Linked DNA regions of Mus musculus: regions 1, 3 and 4 are each reported to be linked to region 2. The links are microRNA targets in miRTarBase. Many come from high-throughput screens and were not tested one by one. Region 2 holds a microRNA gene; each other region holds the end of a gene's coding sequence.
Evidence for each region. Region 2 holds the annotated microRNA mmu-miR-466q (GUGCACACACACACAUACGU, at 3,722-3,741, shown strand). A microRNA usually pairs through its seed, bases 2 to 8, with sites in the 3' UTR of a target mRNA and lowers its output. Matches are read on the target gene's strand: a 7mer-m8 pairs with bases 2 to 8, a 7mer-A1 pairs with bases 2 to 7 and ends in A, and an 8mer does both.

Region 1: the mRNA of Tmem220 is a reported target of mmu-miR-466q. Seed matches in the 3' UTR shown: 7mer-m8 at 3,479-3,485.
Region 3: miRTarBase lists Vangl2 as a target of mmu-miR-466q. Seed matches in the 3' UTR shown: 7mer-A1 at 2,477-2,483.
Region 4: miRTarBase lists Fam189a1 as a target of mmu-miR-466q. The part of its 3' UTR that is shown has no 7-base or 8-base seed match.

What each region holds. Positions count from the first base shown.
Region 1 is chr11:67,033,473-67,038,534 of GRCm38, reverse strand. Tmem220 (transmembrane protein 220) reads right to left here. Exons shown (of 6, transcript NM_001291042.1): 6 at 3,223-4,426. The coding sequence ends at 4,291. It overlaps Adprm (ADP-ribose/CDP-alcohol diphosphatase, manganese dependent), which reads left to right. Exons shown (of 5, transcript NM_025510.3): 5 at 90-655. The coding sequence ends at 394. Among named protein-coding and RNA genes, the nearest start is that of Tmem220, 11 kb to the right of the region's middle.
Region 2 is chr3:28,416,267-28,421,340 of GRCm38, forward strand. It overlaps Mir466q (microRNA 466q), which reads left to right and starts at 3,677; the gene lies at 3,677-3,752. The region is part of intron 2 of Tnik (TRAF2 and NCK interacting kinase); the gene reads left to right.
Region 3 is chr1:172,000,354-172,005,415 of GRCm38, forward strand. Vangl2 (VANGL planar cell polarity 2) reads right to left here. Exons shown (of 8, transcript NM_033509.4): 8 at 607-4,509. The coding sequence ends at 4,249. Among named protein-coding and RNA genes, the nearest start is that of Vangl2, 24 kb to the right of the region's middle.
Region 4 is chr7:64,754,905-64,759,966 of GRCm38, forward strand. Fam189a1 (family with sequence similarity 189, member A1) reads right to left here. Exons shown (of 10, transcript NM_183087.4): 10 at 1,192-4,509. The coding sequence ends at 4,193. Among named protein-coding and RNA genes, the nearest start is that of Nsmce3, 120 kb to the right of the region's middle.

The DNA of each region.
Region 1 (5,062 bases), not on the chromosome of region 2:
GTGTTTAGGTTTGGTTTCCTGAATTCTAGCTTTTGGTCTTTTTTCTTGATGGAAAAAGATTTAATTTGCTCCTAATTTTTCCTTAACAGGCCATCTTCCTATTTACCCAGAGGCCTCTGACAGCGTGTGCCTGGCTTGGAACTACGTGGATGCTCTGTCAATCATATGGTCTCACAAGTGTGTGGTGTGTTTCCTTGCTGGTCACACACATGACGGTGGCTACTCTGAAGATCCTTTCGGCGTGCACCATGTCAACCTTGAAGGAGTTATTGAAACAGCTCCGGACAGCCAGGCCTTTGGCACAGTTCATGTCTTCCCTGACAAAATGCTGCTGAAAGGGAGAGGCAGAGTTCCAGACAGAATTATGAATTATAAAAGGGAAGAAGCTTTGTGATTTTCGCCTCATTATCTTGTCTGCTTTGTAGAAAGTGAACGATACTGTTTTATGTTTTATTACATTCCATAAAAAGTTAAATTCTCAGTTGTACTCTTAAGTATTCTGTTTGTGTACAAAATGTATTTGCACCTTGAGTATGTGTGAGTGAAGATAAAACTCAGAAGTGTTATTTCTGGATAATATATCCAGGTACTGAAAGCTAGTACTGAAAATATTAAAATAAACCAGGAAGGAGACTCATGTGGGCATATACTCCTGAGAAGGGGCTGTGTTTGGCCTAATTTGAATTTCTTTACTTTCCCTCCCTCCCTCCCTTCCCTCCCTCCCTTCCCTCCCTCCATCCCTCCGTCCTTCCCTCCCTTTCTCCTTCCTTCCCTCCCTTCCTTCCTTCCTCCCTCCCTCCCTCCCTCCCTCTCTCTCTTTCTTTCTTTCTTTCTTTTTTTTTTGTACAAGGAGAATTATTCTTGTGTTAACTCTACAGCTTAGCACATGAAAGCCCAAAGCTAAGTCAAGTCTGGCCTGCTTACCCTGCTGTATGAGTGGACGTTGGTCGTTTGTTTCAGAACACCTATACTTAGATATAGGTGACATTCCGTTCTGTGAAAACAGCTGAGAGGTCCTAACAGATGCTGAGATCATTCAGTCTTGCCTCCCACCAACCTCGAGACTCTCATGGGAAGAGCAGCAGAGCTGGCCAGTAAGCCCAACTCCAGGCTGCCTGACAGTATGCATGGACATCTCATCTGTACTGAAACAAAACCAGAAACACTGAAGGAGAAGAAAGCTTAGCCTGGCATGTTGGCTAGCTTGATCTATGTAGACCCTACCTTCAAAAGATAAAAATTATTTTATTCCATTGGTAAGATCCAAGGCAAGCGCACACTGAAAGTCAGTGTCTTCCGTGCATCTGTGAGGGTGCACAGGGTACTATGAATATTTACAGCCATACTAGTCTTGATACAGGGAATTAAAATACCGGATCTGTGTTCTGAACATGACTCATTTACACACAGACATCAAGCATGATTCAGCAGATCAGTAGGTCCCGTGTCAAATTTGCAAATGGACTGGACTCATTATGACTTTGTTCTAAAGTTAATACAAAAGCTGTAAAGACCACGCAGGCTAAAGGGACGCTGGAAAACTCAGATCCTCGGCGTGTATTTTATTGACTCGAAGTGCACTGTAGTTGTTTTAATATCAATTTTATCTTGTCCTTGATAATCTGGCTTAAGGATCCCTTTAGTATTTACAGAGTACTGTTGTCTTACATGATACAAAACAGTATCTGACTCATTTTCACTCTCGGCGTGGTGAGCATGAATTCTATTCAAAAGAAGCATTTCTTACAACTGAAATGAATCTTGCCTTAGCGACTTTTCTGTTGTTGTAACAAAAGATCATGGCCAAGGCAACTTAGAAAAGAAAGTATGTAATTCGGGATTTATGGTTCCGGAGCAGTGGTTCTCAACTTTCCTAATGCCTCTACTCTTTAATAGACTTCCTCACGTTGTAGTGACCCCCAACTATAAAATTATTTCTGTTGCTACTTCATAACTGTAATTTTGCTAGTTATAAATCTTAATGTAAATATCTGATATGCAGATGGCTCTAGGTGGCCTCTGTGAAAGGGTTGTGACCCACAGGTGCAGAACCTGCTGTTCTAGAGGGTTAAAGTCCATGGTGGCAGGAACAGCTGAGCATTCGTACCGTGTTCCAAAGTTCGAGGCAGAGAACAACACTGGGAATGGCCTGAACCTTTTGAAACCTCAAATCTCATCCCCAGCAACTACTTCCTCCAGCAAAGCCACACATTCTAACCCACCCAAGCATCACTGCCAAGCGGGGACCACGTATTCAGACATGGGCCTGAGGGGGCATTCCACGTCAACCACCACTCATCTGGTTAGAGTTTGATTCCAGCCTAGATAAGCTCCCCCTGCAGATATCTGACACTTAATGTGAGCTACTTAAATAATACTCAAGCAATCACACCTTCAAAGATAAATTCAGGGGCTGGCGAGATGGCTCAGTGGTTAAGAGCACCGACTGCTCTTCCAAAGGTCCTGAGTTCAAATCCCAGCAACCACATGGTGGCTCACAACCATCCGTAACAAGATCTGATTCCCTCTTCTGGAGTGTCTGAAGACAACTACAGTGTACTTACATATAATAAATAAATAAATCTTTTAAAAAAAAAGAAAATTAAAAAAAAGATAAATTCAATATATTTTATCTAGCCCGACTTATCTCAAAATATTTTTTCAGCATGCACTTAGTATAAAATACATTGTTCTGTGTTTGTGTCTCTAACGTCTACTGTGTTTTACACTGGAGCACATCCACCCCAACGCTAAACTCTTGCAAATGCTTCACCTGTTGCCTGTTGCTGTAAGGTATTTAATAACTAGTAGTATTAAATAACTAGTAATTACTGTGACCCTGTCAGCCCCCTAATAATCGAGACAGAGTCCAAACTATTTATTTAATCAGCTTCCAGCACAATGACTGGACGATTACCCCTAAACTATTTTTTCAGTGCTAGACTGGCTATTTCTCAGCTGCACTCCCCAGGTTACTTGCCAATCAACGGCCTATGCTCCTGGTCCATCCCATCAAAGTGAACTGCTCCCTCCTCCTCCTCCTCTTCTTTCTTCCTCCTCCTCCTCTTTCTTCCTCCTCCTCCTCTTTCTTCCTCCTCCTCCTCTTTCTTCCTCCTCCTCCTCCTCTTTCTTCCTCCTCCTCCTTCTCTCTCTCTCTCTTTCCCTCTCCCCCAGCCCTATGACAAGCCCTGCCTTCCTAGTAATTCTCCCCAGTAATTGGCTGTTAACCACTTTTATTTAACCAGTCACAAAAGATTGGCAAGCAAAGTTTACATAATATTTGCTGTACATGAAATGAGGCAATCAGATCTCAGGGGCCAGTATTTAGCATTTGAATACATAGCGCCAGACCAACACCAACAGTCCATACCAAAATTTGCAGTTGAAGAAGATCCATACACACACACACACACACACACACACACACACACACACACACACACACACACACACACACACACACACACACACGATCCCATGCACACTTAACTTTTCCTGGCAGTTGACTCCCTGCTTCTAAAAGTAGAAAAGTTAAAAATTGACTTCTTTGGTCACCCTGCCCACAGGTCAAGTGCTCTGCCCACAGGTCAAGTGCTCGATAACAACCTGTGTATGCCCTGTTGGACTGTGTCACCCTACAGAGCTCTCCTCCCCTGTGGTCACTTCAACATTCATTAAAAAGATGTATAGATTTCCATCTTAGTTTTCACGGAGAATAACTTATGATTAATATTCCCTATTCTTGCTAACTCCAAATTTATCTTTTCTATATTTTCTTTAATTTCTACTTTCATTTGGTTCACCTGCCCTGGAATTTTTCTGGGTTCAGTACAGCTGAGCCAGTTAAGTACATTAAGATTAGTTTTTGAACCTCCCTCCATGTCAGCATGAGGCTGGTTATAGCCTCAGCCCCCTCTCACTCTTACTCCCTTTGGAACTCAAGTGAGCTTCATCTTCTCAGAGTGCCTTCAACAATAGTTTGGTTGTGGTAACTAATGAGATCTGACATCCTACTTTATATGTGAGGAAATATGTACCAGGAGATTCGTGGGTTTGCCCCATCACATAGTGCTAAAGCTGGATTCAAACTCAAGTTTCTGCTCATTGCCTGGTCCAGTGCTGTTGCAGAAGAGACCTCTGGAGACTCAGCTCCCAATTCTTATCTGACCTAGTCAATCTTCCATCACATTGTGAGTAGCCTTGTTACATTCCCAAGACTTTAAATCATCTCTGGGAAATCGTCCCATTACCCCAATGTGTATAACATGTTGTAAACATTATTGGGTTCATTTAAATGACTGTCTTGCAGTGAGTTGGCCAGGAGGACCGCATCTCCTTGTTCATGTGTACGTAGACCCACGACAGGAGTGGGAGTAGGGTGATTACAACAGCAATAGCCAAGTGCATTCTTCCACCACCTGGATTCCTATAAAAATAAAAAGTATTGTAAATTGAAGTCTAAGAAAATAAATTGCTTTGGAAATATGCATAAAGTTTGAATTGGTAAAACATCACATCTTAATAGTTTCTCTTTATTGAAATTAATGTTGAATTGCATTAAATTTGTATATACTTTTATATATGTATATACTTGATATATGTTGCAAATGCCTTTTCCCACTCTGTTTTGAGGAATACTGAGTAATTAGACTGCTAAAATTGATCTTTCCCTAGTCAGTACCACCTCCTCCTTTGGGAACCCTGTAAGAAGCATTTCTCTCTGAGACAGAGTCTTGCTGTGTGGTTCTTGTTGGCCTCATGTTTGTTATGTAGCTCAGGCTGGCCTTTAACTTGTAGCAATCCTCCTGCCTCACCCCTCTGAGTGCTGGGATAAGAAGATGTAGCACCATGCCCACCTTTTCCCAGGGTCTTGAAGACACAACTGCTTTCTCTAGAGGCAGGGGGATTAAAAATACAAGACCTGCCTGGTAGAGAGCGAATTCAAGGCTAGACAGGACAACCGAGACCTTGTCTCAGATAAAATATAAAGAGATCTGGGGATGTATCTCACTGGTTGAACAAATGCCTTACCACGTACAAGGCCTACATTCTGTCTCCAGCA
Region 2 (5,074 bases):
GAGGCTTCTGGAGCTGAGCAAGGCTGGGGATTCTGGGTCTTTTTATCAGCTAATAACTTTTTGTGTCAGTGTTTCCTTTGTCTGGTGTGTGTGTGTGTGTGTGTATGTGTGTGTGTGTGTGTGTGTGTGTGTGTGTGAGAGAGAGAGAGAGAGAGAGAGAGAGAGAGTGTGTGTGTGTGTTGTGTGTGTGTGTCCGTGTGTGTGGCACACTGATGTGTGTCTATATGCATGTGTATATTGCAGGAGAATGATAGAGGTTGGTGTTGGGGGTCATCTTCCATAGCTCAGTTCCACTGAGGCAGGATCTCTGCATCAAACCTGAAGCTCGCTGATTTGAGCACTCTATCTAGCTTACTCTGGGAATCTCCACTTTCCTGGGCTGGAATGACAGCTGGATTGCCATGTGCATTTATGTGTGTTCTGGAATCCTAGTTCTGGTCCTCACACTTGCCTAACTAGTGCTTGAGTTACCCAGGCATCTCTCCAGCGTCTACATCCCATTTTATACATGTCAAACTGTACCCATTTAACTCTTCGGTGGTTCACTAAGCAAATCTCAGGAGACACAAATGGAACAAAAGCACCGGCTTGGAGCTTCCAAGGGAGCAATAGAGGATGGGTGGATTGAGTGGTGAATTATACTCATGTGTTTGTGCATGTGTGTGTGTGTGGGGGGGCACAGGCACACATATAAGTTATTTGCACATGTGTGGTGGTCATAAGTTGACCATATGTCTTCACCCACCTGTTTCTACTTCCTTAGCAGTGGTTTTACAAAAACATATCACCTGACTTAGGCTTTTTTTTTAAATGTGAAAATTAGTACATTTAGTAGTTATATTTTAGAAAATTTAAAATACATAATGAATCGGGGGGGGGGGACCCTTGTTAAAAGAAGACAGCTGACACAAAATGTGAGAAGCACTCTGTTCAGTAGTCTGCTGTGAATACTTACCAAGGAGAGGGCAGTTCACAATGAGCATGTGCAGAGTGGCTTGAGCAGGTGACTGTTACTGTCACTGCAGTTGTCAGGGATCTGTCAAGCAGCTGTTCGGGTCATCAAGTTTACCATGCTCCTGAGACAACCTCTGTCTTTCCTCTGTGTGTGTATCTATGTGTAGATGTGTACTGGCACACACAAACCTTTGTCTTTGTGCGTAGGAGACCTGAAGTATCTTCCTGGACAGTTCTCTGTTTGCTGAGGCATTTCTCAATGAAATCTAACACTTGCCCATCCACTAATCCAGTTAGACAGCTTGCCCTGGGAATCCCTGTCTGGGCCTCTCTAGAGCTGGGATTACAAGTGGCCACGATGCCTACCAAGCTGTTGTGTAGATTTGAAGGTCTGCACACCGATCCTTATGCATAAATGCTTTATCTACTGAGCTATCTTATCAGGCTGACAGTGAAATTATTAAAACCATATGTTACATAGAGTCCAGTCATTTCCATTTTTATGAATTATCCATGTTATATATTAATAATTTTGGAACAAGTAGGACAATTACAAAAAGATCTTGTAGTTGGAAATTATACTGCCCAGAGTTAATTTTTTGAGGCTCATCATTTTGATGCATCACCTTCTAGACTTTTCAAAAATTCCAGTTTGGTCATAACAGATATACAATGATATGCCTACCATTATTTGACCTGGAGTTATGTTTAGGCATAGAAATGCATGTCGGTGTCGCAGACCCTGCCCTTCCTCAACAGCCCAGAGTGCAGAAGTTTGACTTGGACCCATGAATGTCCCATGGATATATATATATATATATATATATATATATATATATATATATATAAGCATTTCAAAAAAATTACCCTCTTTTTGAGATTATAATATAATTACATCATTATCCCCTTCCTCCCTCCAAACCCTCCCACAATGCCTTGTGCTCTTTCAAACTCATCGCCTCTTTTATCATTATTTATTGTTACACACATACACACATATTAGGAATGTATGTATGTATGTAGGTAGGTAGGTATATCTCTAAAAACATAAATACAACCTATTCAGTTAGAAACTATATCCATAACATCTAAACATGAGCTGAACAAGGGCAACACTAGACATGCTGAAGTAGGCAGTGGAAAGCCCTCCATCCTACACAAAGACCTACAAAATGCGGAGAACAGGAGAAATTGCTTATCCAATACCAAATGGACAGCCCTGGAAATATACATACAAGGGACATTATACACAGCTTGGCTTTTGCATATCAGAATGGTGTACAGGGGAGCTGGTCTCGAGACAAAGCAATGTTAACTGTAGATTCTGCTCTCTAATTTCTTTTAAGAGTGTATCATTTGTCACAGTGCTCTGCCAACTGCTAACTGCAGTATCGTTTGTTCTGTTGGTCCACTAAGAATGCCTGTTGAAAACACACAAGTGCTGCAAAACAGCGCCAGAAGAAGCCTTCACAACTCTGATTTCTGGGTCAACTGGTATTGGAACATGCTTCCTCGGGTGAGGGTTCTTAAGAAAAAAGATTGCTGGAAAGCGGGCACCAGAGTAGACAGAGACAGGCATGGGATGGGCTCCAGCTTCAGTTTTCTCTTTCAGTCTTGAACAAAGTACCGACCTCTTCTGAGCATCAGTATCTTCATCGAGAAGCCATGGGCAGCATGCATGCTTCTCATCTGATTAGAGAGTTGAGATGGAGATACATAGGGTGCTCCTGTGTGCAGCAGGACTCACTCATGACCTCGTTTCCTCTTCCCTTGTTTTTTACGAAGTCTGCAGAGAAGTGCCAGTGCCCAGATTAGTCAGTGAACGATGATAATGGCATGCTAATATTTATCCAGTGAAGCACTTTGCACAGAACTATTTGTATCATGTTTGTATAATTAGAGGAAACGCTTCTCATCATACATTATGATGTGAACTTTCCTTCCTAGGCTCCCGGTAATTAGATTTGGGTGAGGAAAAATTCCCCGAGTTGTAAAAATATACAAAAACTTTTCTCGAGTTTGCTTTGTGTTTTATATTTGTGACTAGAGTTTGCCATTTCTCTTTTTATTAGGTGCTCACCACAAGTATGTTAATGAGTGGAAGTAGTGGGTGAAAACTGGCGTTTGAGAGCCATGTTAGGTTTAAGCTGACATGAAATTCATATTTGGAGAAACAGAGTAGGATCCGAAGTGACTAGGTAGTATAAATGCTTCAGAAAGCCTCGGTATATTCCTTGAAGAAAATAGACAATTGGATACTTTTTGCTCTGGGCTGTGAAAACCCTTCTGAAGAATGTGGCATCTGGATTCTACTCAGCTGAGTCCACATGGGTATACTACTAGTAGACTTTACTACTATCTGGGGGGTAAGGTGGGGTTTGCAATAGGTGCAAATAAAACTTTATTGAAGTATTAAATGTATATATCACAAGAGAGTGCTTAACAGTGGGGTGGAGCAAAAAAAAAAGAGCTGAGAAATTTTCATGCAGAAAACTGAAGGAATTTAGTGAAATTCTTTATTTTTAACTCCTTCCCATGCTTGAAACAGGGGTCTCTAGTCTAGCCTGGTCTTGAACTCAGTCCTCCTGTCTTAACATCCTGGGTGTTGAGATTACAGGCAGTCACTACCATATTTATCTAAAGTCTACCTTAGGAAGACCCCTCTACTCCTGAAACAGTTTTAAAAATCTCCTTTATATTCTTATTACCTTCTCTTTAGTGTGTGTGTGTGTGTGTGTGTGTGTGTGTGTATGTGTGTGTAGTATATGTGCACACACACACATACGTACCCATGCATGCCATATCTCATCTCTGGAGATAATAGGACAACTCGTAGGAGTCAATTTTCTCCTTTACCCAGTAGTGCCCAGAGACTGATCTCAGGTTGTCAGGCTTGGCAGCAAGCACCCTTACCCTCTGAGCTGCCTTATAGGTGTGCTTTATATTCTTAATACTACTGAAGAGTGCAAGAACCGTATGTTTGGATGGATTGTCTACCAGCATTTATTATAGTGCCAATAAATGTGATTTCATTAAATACAATAAGGACTTTTTAAAGCACAATATTACTAATGCATAACACAATGTCCATTAGCCGCAGTGATGACATCATCTTGTGGCATGCAGCCTCTGGGAAACTCCACTGTACAACTGTGGGGCAAGAGCGAAAATAGCATTTGATGTCATTGTATTAATATATAAAAAGGGCTCCAGAGACTCAGAGGACCTCGGGCATCTCTGAGGACAATTGTAGTGGCTTGTAGTCACTAGAGAGGTCACGCTGATCTGTCCTTCCGTAACCCATCACTCCATTCCAGGATGAATGACATTATTCACAGGGTTAGAAATGAAGAAGGCAGAATTTCACAAGTGGCTCGTGGCCGAGATTTGGTACTGCAGGAGCACAAGAAGAACTACAACAACAGAAGCATTTCATTTGCCATCACTGTGTATCTTTGCATAAGTATTTTTTGCACAAGTTAGGTTAGATCTACATCAAATGAAAAGAGTGGATGTATTTTAGTCAAACTGTGTTAGGAACTTCTGGCCTATAATAGCAGCCAAACATGGGATGTGTGTGCAACCTCCAAACTGGGAAACACTTAAGAGGTGTTTCCTTGAGCTCCTGGCTTGCTTGGCTAGGGCAAATATGACGAGGAGCCTACCAGGTGCTCTGCTCAGAGCTGCAATGGGGAAAACCCCATCCAAACGACAGCAGAGCACACTCAGCTAGTAACAGCTAGCTCTCATTAGCCCCTCACCCGATACAATTAACAGAAAAGAATGAAAGACAGAATAAGCTTAGGAAACAGGTAAAGGGTGGTTTAAGTATGGTCTTAATTCTTTTGAGACAACCATCCCTCCTCTCTCTCTCTCTCTCTCCTCTCCCTTTTTTCCCTTTAATGTGATGTATTTATTTTTATTTCATGTGTATGGCTGTTTTACCTGCATACATGTCTGTGCATCATTTGTGTGCTAGGTGACTGTGGGTGGGAGTCAGTCTCAGTCTATCTAGATTTACAGATGGGCTGAGCTATCATACTGGTGCTAGGAACCAGATTAGTGTCTTCTGTAGGAACAGTGTGTGCTTTTAATTCTGAGCCATCCTGCTAGCCCCACA
Region 3 (5,062 bases), not on the chromosome of region 2:
TTTCATATAATGTATGTAATTATGCATTAGATATGTATATTATATATGTACGTATACATATATATGTATATATAAAGAGAGAGAAAGTGCGAGAGGCCAGAAGCGGGCCCCACACCAGATCCCCTGGAGCCAGAGTTACAGGTAGTTAGGAGCCACCGCCAATGTAGGTGCTGGGAACTGAACTGGGGTCCTCTGTGAGAGCCACAAGTCCTCTTAACACTGAGCCATCCTTCCAGCCCCAGGACCCCATCTTTTAAAAAGTAAATAAAACCAGATGTAATGTCGGGGGATTTTTATAAATGAAACATAAGGAGCCGTCATGTCAGCACTGTCTGACTTTCACCTGGAGGCCATGCAAACACAGGCTTACAAAGGAAGATGCAGGCTGACACTCACCCTGAGCCCCACCCCCAGATGATTAACCATCACAGCTCTCTCACCTCAGAATCCAGTTAACAGCAAGCAGTTTCTCATTTCCCTTCATTCTCCACACTGGCTGGAGGCAGTGGCATGACAAGGCCCACACTGCCCCCTACCGCCCGGACTCCTCCCTGACCACCTTTAGCTCCCACTTTGAAAAAAAGAAAAGCAACAGAAAACCCCCACTAAAGTCAAATGTCTTTATTTTATATATAAAAAAAATTTTTGTACAGTTTTAGTTCCTATGTTTAAGAAAAAAAAGTCCCTAAAATTGCCATAATGTTTAATCCACTGCAAATGTAAAAACAAGCTTTTTATATATTAAAAAAAATTTACATTTTACAATTTTCTACATGCATGCACAAGGTCTCAGCTCTGGAACAAACAAAAAAAAAATAGCCCCAAAAATTTGTTTTAAAAATTTTGAAAATAAAAAAGAAGAAAAGAAAGAGAGAGAAGAAAAAGGATTTTAAAAAATCTAGATCCAACAATGGAAAGTTCTACATTTACAATCTCACTTGGAAGAGATTCAAGAAGCCCTTCCTTTTGCGCACAGAAGGACAAATTACAACAATCACACAATCAGAACAGAATCCATCAGCAGATGCTGCCCCACGGGGAGAAGAGAGGAAAGAAAAAAGACCGACAGACAGACACCAGGAAGGGACAAGGCAGAGCTAGGCCCAACCAACAGGGAGAGCAGGGACCCAGACAAACAGGGACTAAGAGAATCCTGCCTCCTTGTCTTTATTAAATCAGGATTCACAACGGGAATGCTGTGGCCAGCCAGCTAGGAGCGAAAGCACAGAGCGTAATGGCAGGGATCAGAGGAAGTGGGAGATCAACAGAGAGAACAAAGACATACATTTAAGGAGAAACTGGAAAGGGACCAATGGGGAGGGTGACAGTGGCGAGGTAGGTGATGGACGGAGGCACGGTGTCCTGGTGTGGAGGCACGGCGTCCTGGTGTAGAGGGAAGAGCGGTAAGCCCGCACTGAGGTCATGAAAACAAAGGCCAAGTTGTGTAGTGGGGATGAGCCAGGATGCCACCCAGCCGGAGCACACACACAGAGTGCACTGGAGTAGCCCAGCCCAGCATCCCCTATGGTGAGAGAGCTGAGCAGGCTAGTCTCATGCCCGCAGTGCAAGCATGAGAAACCACGGAGCCACCGGTGGGACAGCGCTGGTTGAGGAAACTGCTCAGAGAGACTGGGTCAGCTGCCCACCCATAGCAGTTCACAGCATGAAGACAACTTCCCATTCTGGAGAAGCAAAAGACACACACACACACACACACACACACACACACACACACACACACACCTCGCACACACAGAGCCATACATTTGACAATTCATCCTGACATCTTAAAAAATAATAACAACCAAAGCAGACGAAGATACCACAGTTCTGACACGAAGGACCAAAACGCTACCATTCTTAAGTCACAGCCCTTAGTGCTTAGACAGGGAGTCAGGGAAACTTCTTCTCTTTGTTTTAGGATAAAAGGAATGGAAATATCACAGTGATTAAAAAACATGGCAGGTTCTTAAAATAAACACTCCTGTGCCCCTAACCTAGGGCATCAACTAAGATCCCAAATCTTTTCCTTCGGCCCACCCCACCCACCCACTCCTCAAAGCAACAGCAAAACCCGCTCTTGCCCACAAAGGCAATGACCCCAATCACCATCCGGGCCCTGCTTTCCAGGATAGTGAGGTATTTACGTGACTCAAAAGGTTCTCCTCTGAAACCTGAATTTTCTTTCTTCTTCTTCTCCTTCTTCTTCTTTCTTTCTTTCTTTTTTTTTTTTTTTAAAGAAAAGATACCTTCCCATTACCCAAGGACATCGTAATTTCACTGGAATTTATTCAGGCACCTCTATCACAGCCCTAAGCTAACCTCGAGGCCCTGCGTAAGTCAGCTCCAAAGACCATTCCCATGAGAACAAAGTAAGCCCTAATGGACAAGCCCTTTAGTAACTGGTAGGTAGGCTTCCACTTTGAATCCTGCAGCCGCACGGTGAGATCAAAGGTACCCCATCTTAGGGCGTGCTTTGCACAGCAAATACCAGCAGAATACCCAGGGACGTGAAGGGCCCGTGCAGGGGCTTTGAGGGTTATTTAAAGAAGTGACACAGGGACATTTCTCCATCGAAGCCACCAGGACAGTCATCCGCATGGATCCCAGAAAGAAAGATGTGGGTGTTCCCTATTTCTAGTCCTTGTGGTAAAAAATAATTTAAAGGTGTCTAATTTAAAGGCTCAAGTTTACTCTGAAAAATATCCATTAGAGGGTTAGGGAATCCTGCTCAAAGTGACTACTGAGATTCGTTCAGATTTGCTGCAAAGGCTGTGTTAGTTAGAATGGGGCGAGGAGCTAATACCCACAAAAGGCAGTAATCCTGGTCCCTCACCCTGATAAAGAGCCCAGAAAGCGAGGCGGGAGAAAAGAGGATGGGACCCTGGAAGGCCATGGTAAAGAGACCCCTGAGGCAAAGAACTGGATTTAAGGCAGGGGATGAGAAGGAGTTCCTGGCCCCTCCCCATAAGAGACGAGGCCACAGGTCTCGGAGCCCGAATTCAGCAGGACTGTGGTAGCTGGCGCAAAACACAAAATGTCTTCGACCCCAAGGTTGGTCAGGGTCTGCATGTCATGGAGTCCTTAAGAAGTCAACATGTATCCTTCATGGGGAAGGGTGGGGAAGAACAGGTCAGTGGGTTCAGAGGGACAAGTGAGGTCAGTGACAAGGGTCTCTCCAACCTCAGGGGTCTATCCTGCCCTTCCTCTCGGGAGTTGTCTAAGAAAGACACATTACACCTTCCCCACAGCCCTGGTAAAGTGGTCAGAGAGGTTCCACCTCTGTTTGCCTATGATCACATGACCATACAAGTCAGAAACAGCAGTAAAGACTCCTGAGTAGAAGACTGCACTTCCCCTTCTTCTATGTTTCTGTGTGTGTGTGTGTGTGTGTGTGTGTATGTGTGTGTGTGTATCTGTGAGGTGCTGTGTGTCCGTGTGTGTGTCCGTGTCCGTGTGTGTGTGTGTGTGTCCGTGTCCGTGTCCGTGTCCGTGTGTGTGTCCGTGTGTGTGTGTGTGTGTGTGTGTGTGAGTGTGTGTATCTGTGAGGTGCTGTGTGTGTGTGTCCGTGTCCGTGTGTGTCCGTGTGTGTGTGTGTGTGTGTGTGTGTGTACCAGGAAGCACAGCTGTAACACTGGCGAGCAAGACTGCAGAGAGAATCCTAATTCTGGGATTATGTCACAGGTGCATCCTTGCCCAGGGACTCAGGGCTAAGCGTAGGGACCGAGGATAGGATTAGCTGTTGTCCCACAGGAGTTTGGCACCATGGTCCTCTAGGGTCAGAGCTGTGCCCCCAAGAGAAACTCTATCAGGGGCCACTAGAGAGCGCGGCTCTAAGAATGTACATTTCTAAGTTGGAGCTCAGGAGGCAAGGGTAGAATCCGGAAGGCCCTGAATGCTTCCATCCAGGGAAGGTTTGCGGGGGAAGAATGGGGTGGGGGGATGGGAGAGTTGTGAGGCACTGTTTCCTGCAGGGCCTGGAGTGATACAAAATTGGAGGGCAGGGTGGTTCCCAGGTATTGTTAACAAGATTTATCTCCAGATTTCCAGATGGGAAAAACTGAGGAAGAGGGGAGACTGGGTACAGGATAAGTTAATTCAAGTAAAAAAAAAAACAAAAAACAAAAAACAAAAACAAACAAGAGCAAGAGGAAGTAGGACTGGCAGAAATGTGTCAGGGCCAGAGAACCAAGCCCCTCCCACTCCGCAGGAACCCCCCACATCCCTCCTCCGCGGCTGCTGCAAAAGTCACACAGAGGTCTCCGACTGCAGCCGCATGACGAACTTATGTGACTTGGGATCCACAAATTCCTCAGAGAGTTTGAAGAAGGGCACCTTCTTGGTGCTCACTACCAAGCTGAAGTCCTGGCGCTTCAAGAGGAACACGATGCCATCCTTAAGCCCATTGGTCACCGGCTCCTCGCTCACCAAGGTCCACTGTTTGGCCAGCCAACGTTCCTTGTGGTACTGGATGGTGGGTCCAGCAGCCAAATATCGCTCCAGGAAGGCCTGAGGAAGGGAGAAGATACTGTTGGGGCATCTCGTGCACCCACCCACCCTTCATCCTCTGTGACACAGCTTTCTAAGATAGCTAGGGTGTTTCTAAGCTCATTCTATACCCATGAACTGGTATCTTCAAATGTGAGTGCAGAAGACAGCCAGAGACTCCTAATATATTGATGGGGACAATGACATGCACAGAAGTGATACAGCTCCAGTCAGGACTGGAATTCACCCCTATCCTTCACCCTGTTCCTTGCACCAGGCTGTGGCTAGAGCTACTTGAACCTCATTCTTCCTTCTTCCTTCCCTTTCATACAGTTGATATGACTAGAACCATGTAGGCCTACACTAAGAGGGAAGTGGGCCAAGAAAAGCTTCAAGTGCAACACTCTGTGTGTGTGTGTGTGTGTGTGTGTGTGTGTGTGTGTGTGTGTGTACATCCATGTGCACACACACTGTTTTGCTGGTAAATGAAATCAAGAATTCAGGCCTGATCTACCACTGAGCTACATTCCCAGTCTCTTTATCACCCACTCAACAAGGAAGGCTCCGAGAGCGC
Region 4 (5,062 bases), not on the chromosome of region 2:
AGGATATTGGCCTACACCTAGCCTTTCTCCAGACCTTTGGAATCCATACCTGTAGAGTGTTGGCAGGGCATCTTTGCAGTTCTGTACCTTGCTACAGGCCTGCTGTGCCTGATATGAGGAGGGAATGGGGTAAGCTTGGGGTTGTCTCTGGAGGATGAGACAGGGGACCTTGGCAAGTGAGAGTCTCCTCTTTGGCCCACCGCAGCAAAGCATATCCATGACCAGGTGTTTTCTTTGCTCACGATTCTGCAGGAACCGCCTGAGGGGCCTGAACCATGTGCCCCCTTCACTTTTCTACCCATCAGGAGCAGGCGAGAAAGAGCCTTTCACTGTGAACTCTAGCCTCAAACAGTGGCCTGAGAAATGCCATCAGAAATGCAACACAAAGGTCTCCAGGTCTGTCACCTCACTCCCCAAAAAACAGAAGAACTGAGAGCCAAGAAAACTGTTTCCCTATGCCAAGATTCAAAAACCAGTATCTAGATGGCTGGCATTCGTACAGAATGGGATGAACAGTCCCTGAGGTGAAGGCAAGACAGCAGAGGAGCTAGCGCCTGCTGCTAGGCCCACGGACTGCCCCTGTGTGTTCTAGACAAGCACGTGCCCTGCTCCAGAGAGAAGAGGCACAGTCAGAGATGATACGAGGGTACGATGTCTACAGACTGGTACTCAGCGTGTGTGCACAATGTGTGCATGTGTTTTCACCTGTGTGCAGGCACATGTGACCATTTGTGCACACATGGATATACGGTCCTTTGTCACGCCCCATCTTATTTTGTCGAGGCAGTCTTTTACAGAACCAGGGGCTTGCTATTCCAGCTGCTCCAGTCAGGAAGTGGTTGGCCTATCCCTGCACACCCCAGCACTGGGGCTACAGTGTGCCCCTCCCTCTCTTAATCCAAACGCAGATCCTTATGCTTGTCCATCAAGCAAGCACGTTACCCAGTCCCTGGTGCACATCACTCAGAGCCTTAAGTGAAACACTTTGGAATACAGGACCATCTTCCAGGTCCCCTTGAGTGCCGGGTCCACAGAGGGGCAGCTGTGGTTTGGACCTGTGAACATCGGGAGCTGCCTTCTCACCTCAGCTCCTGGCACTGGGCTACCACTCCTCGTGGGTAGCTGTGGCAGCTTCTTGCTCCCCCAGATCCAGCCCCTCCAGGACCCTCTTAGTCCCAGTTAGAACTCAGAGACCAGAAATACTTTTTATTAAAACACTGATCATTATTAAAACACCTTGAGGTACATTAAATAAATACAACCTTTCCAGTTGTACGAACAGGTCTCTGGTGGTCTGGAAACAACTTCCTATAAACTCTGCCTCAGCAGCAGCTGTGGGCTGACACAGCCACATGGGGTGGGGGAGAGAAGACCCAAAATGAGCTTTCCACTCCAGGGCTGGCTGCAAGCGTTTCAAATTCTACCAGCGTCTCCCTGGGAAGGAGACTTAAGTCCTTGTCATGAAGCCTCCAGCCTTCCTCACAGTAGAGTTGCTGCCCATCGTGGATTCACATCATCAGCATCTTCTTGCCCCCAAACAGAGTCAAGGGATGTCCTAGAAGATACTGATTTTGGGGGGGGGGGGTTCTGGGGGCCCAGGGCCTGGCAAGCCAGGCATGAGAGCATCTCCTCCCAAATGGTTACTATTGGACCCAGTTCAGATATCAACACAAGCAGGGACAGACCTTCCAAGATGGAAGGTTGTGCAGGCAATGTGAAGAAAGACGGCTTTGCTTCCGCAAGGGACCCACATAACTGCCTGGGGTTCTTAGCACTAGCTCACCACTGAGGCAGGGTTAAGGAACCCAGAACAGACAAGTCAAATTGCAAGACTGTTGTCTAGTGGCTGTTACCAGTACCTCTGGCTTCCTGGAAGCCTGGAGGTTGGGCATTTTTAATGCCCTCTTGGTCCATCTGGGGCCCAGAGAAGGTAAACAAAGACATATCTGTCATCAAACACCCACCCAATAGCATGAAGTGCTGTAGTTTCTTTATCCATCTTATAAGCCTGTTAGGGGAGCCATCTCATAACCTAGCTAGGATAGTTTGTGTGTACCACTTCCTTGAGAATGTCTGGGACTCGGGGCTTCCCGGTGGTAGTGTTAGTCTGCACCCGAAAAGAGGTGTGACTTGAGGCAGGAGTGCCCCATGATAGTTGAAGGCCATCTGTAAAGAGGCAGCATGAAAGCCACAGTGCCCTGTGCTGAATCCAGAAACTGGTCACCCTGGCCACACTATGAAAATACCTCCAAGCTTGGGTCAGTTGGAATGGGGTCGGCCCTGGCTTCTCTTGGATCATGGCTTGTTCTGAGATCCACAAATGTTTAAGCACACTGCTGCATGTCCCTCCAATCAGGCGACATCCTCTTGCTGCCTCCCTTCCCCTCATCTCTGAAGTGGTGAGAAAGCCCAGCAGCCAGGCGTGAAAGTACTTCGTGCTATGAAGCTTGGGGCAAGCCACTCTACTGAAAGGGATTTTCTCATGGGGGATTTTCAAAGTCCTCACTTGAGGGAAAATTAGAGAATTTTATAGTCTGAATAAAGTGCTCAAATATTCATCTCTATTATGTCTCCTGTGGAAAAGCCAAGACTACTGTCAAATGCCCGATTTATATTTTCCAGCTTGCTAACCTCAGAAAGGCAACAGCTTATGGCAATGGTAAAGCCATCAGGGCATGGAGAACTAACTGATGGCTGCTAGGGGTTTTCCGAGGCCATGTGTGGGCTGAAGTCCCACAACTTCCAAACACACAGAGGTCTTCAGCCTAGTGGATACAGGGAATTTGGGGGGGCTGAATCAGGGTAGTAGAGGATGAAGGACAGGCAAGGGCAGGCAAGATGGAGAGAAGAGTATCCTATGCCTACCAGCTGGCCACTGAACAATGGAAGGAACACTCTGGTCCACCCACAGACTTAGGGCTTCTGTGCCTATATTGAGGCTCACAGGCCCATGGCGGTGCAGTGATTGCCCTTGATTATACCTGCTGCTGTGGGGGAAGCAGATGTGGGCGTTTCTGGCTTTTGCAGGAAGTGCTTTCAAGCAGTGCTGCTCCAGACCCATTGCTGAGAAGTGGTTGCTGTTGATCTTGCCAGAAAATGCGGTCTGAAACAGCCAAGAATGTCTTAGGTGGCCATTTTGCCCCAAGCCACCTGGTTATACCTAAGCTGGGTTTGCCTTGCTTCCGGATGTCCACCATTGGCACTCTCCCCGAAATAAGGCATTGACCATTTGCATCCTTCAACACAAGTGTGCCTGCTGCCACCTGAGTTGAGAAGGGACAACTCTGGGTCATGAGAGAGGCTTGCCTAAGCCGGAGGTGCACATATAGCAGACAGTAGCTTCCTAGCCCAGACTGTGACCTACCCAGCACAATTAGGTGAGGTCAGATACAAGGGGAAGTCCTCCAAGGGAAGAGAAGGGAGCTTATTGTTAAAACACAAGTAACAAGTATTTGCTGTGGTTCAAGGATGGGAGACTGTGTGGGAGGGACCTAGGGAGGAGGTGGGTAGCAGCCCACAGACAGAGGCCTAATGGGGAGGCCCAGTACACACGAGAAGGTGGGCATTTCAAGCCCTTGTGACACGTGCTTGCTTCCCAAGAGTATGTAGGAAAGCTTTCATTGTGGATTTATTTGCATGATAGCCCAGTGGGCAAGAAGGTGGTCCCAGGCTGTGCTAGCATGACCTATTGCCTTTGAGAGGAAGTAATGGGTCGGAATCTGATAAAGGTGTCATTGCAGAGTGATACCAGCCACACGACTCCATTGCCACTGCTACTCTCTAATCTTAACACTGAACCAAACCAGGCACAGAGGAGCATCGAGTGTTAAAGGCCTTGACTTGGGACAGATGCAGTGTCTTTATGTTCCAAAAGTGTCCCCTGTCCCAGAATTGGTATTCCCATCACATTCTTCAGTTCAAGAGGTGCTATACCCCTGAAGCGACCAGAGCTCACTAAGGGCAGGAGAGAAACATCTCTGAGTTAGTGGGACAGGCGACAAACAGTCCCCAGGAAGACAACTGATGGGAGAAAGAGTAACAGTTCCTTGCCCAAGCCACCAGCGAGCTTCCTGGATATCCTGGATGTTCTTGACCCAGCAGGCCAAAGGCCTTTCTCTACCAAGCACGGTGGCATCTTGCAGGGCCAGACTTTGCAGGCTTATCAGTGTCCACATCCAGGCCCATAGCAGCTTCACAGCTGGTCCAAGACGCCAGCACCAAAGATGGCCTCCTCCACCCTGGGCTCCTCCGAGGTGGCCATTGATCGTATGGTGCCCACCACATGTCGCACCTCTGTAGGGAGGCTGCAGTGTGCGTGTTCCAAAAACTTAGCCACCAGAACCCTGGTGTCTGCATAGGCCTTGCTCTCCACTAAAGAGTGTGGCCGCTCTTTGGAGACGGTCTGTAAGGTCTCTGGCTTGGTCCCTTGGCCCGTTTTCCAGGTATCTGGGTCACCAGTGGATGAGTGCTGGTGCTGACAGGCAGCCATGGCTGGCTGTGATGTGGAGACTAGAAATCAAAGTGAAAGAGGCAATCTGAATACAACCGTGAACTTAATGAAACCGAAGTTCCAGGAAAAAAAAACAAACAAACAAACACAAGTGTACCAGGGGAGAGTTGCTACCACTGCGTGTGACCCCGTTCCCTGGGTCACTTAATTTCCTGTCAGCCTGGCGTGAATTTCCTGTTGACTTCAAAGGGTTGAAGTGAGGTGAGATGAGTGGTGGGCCTATGAGAAGGACTAGTGGGGGACCCTGAGCTCTCTTCGCAGCCTTCTCCAACTCTATGACCTCCATCCTTTGTGGTCTGGTGGCTTACAGAGGTAGAGTAGGAACATCTAGAGACAGTCTGACTTAAGACTACATCTGAGGTGGCAGCATGGCAATGAGATCCCCCACCATGTGTGTGGGGACAGCAGCCTCTATCCACAGTCCTCCCCCAATATCCTTTAGTCCAGGCCTAGAGTAATGAATCTGGTTCCAATCTGATGTCACAATGGCACTCTACCTCAAAATTAGGACACATACCGGTTAAATGGCTCCAAGAACTAGGGAGATCTTTG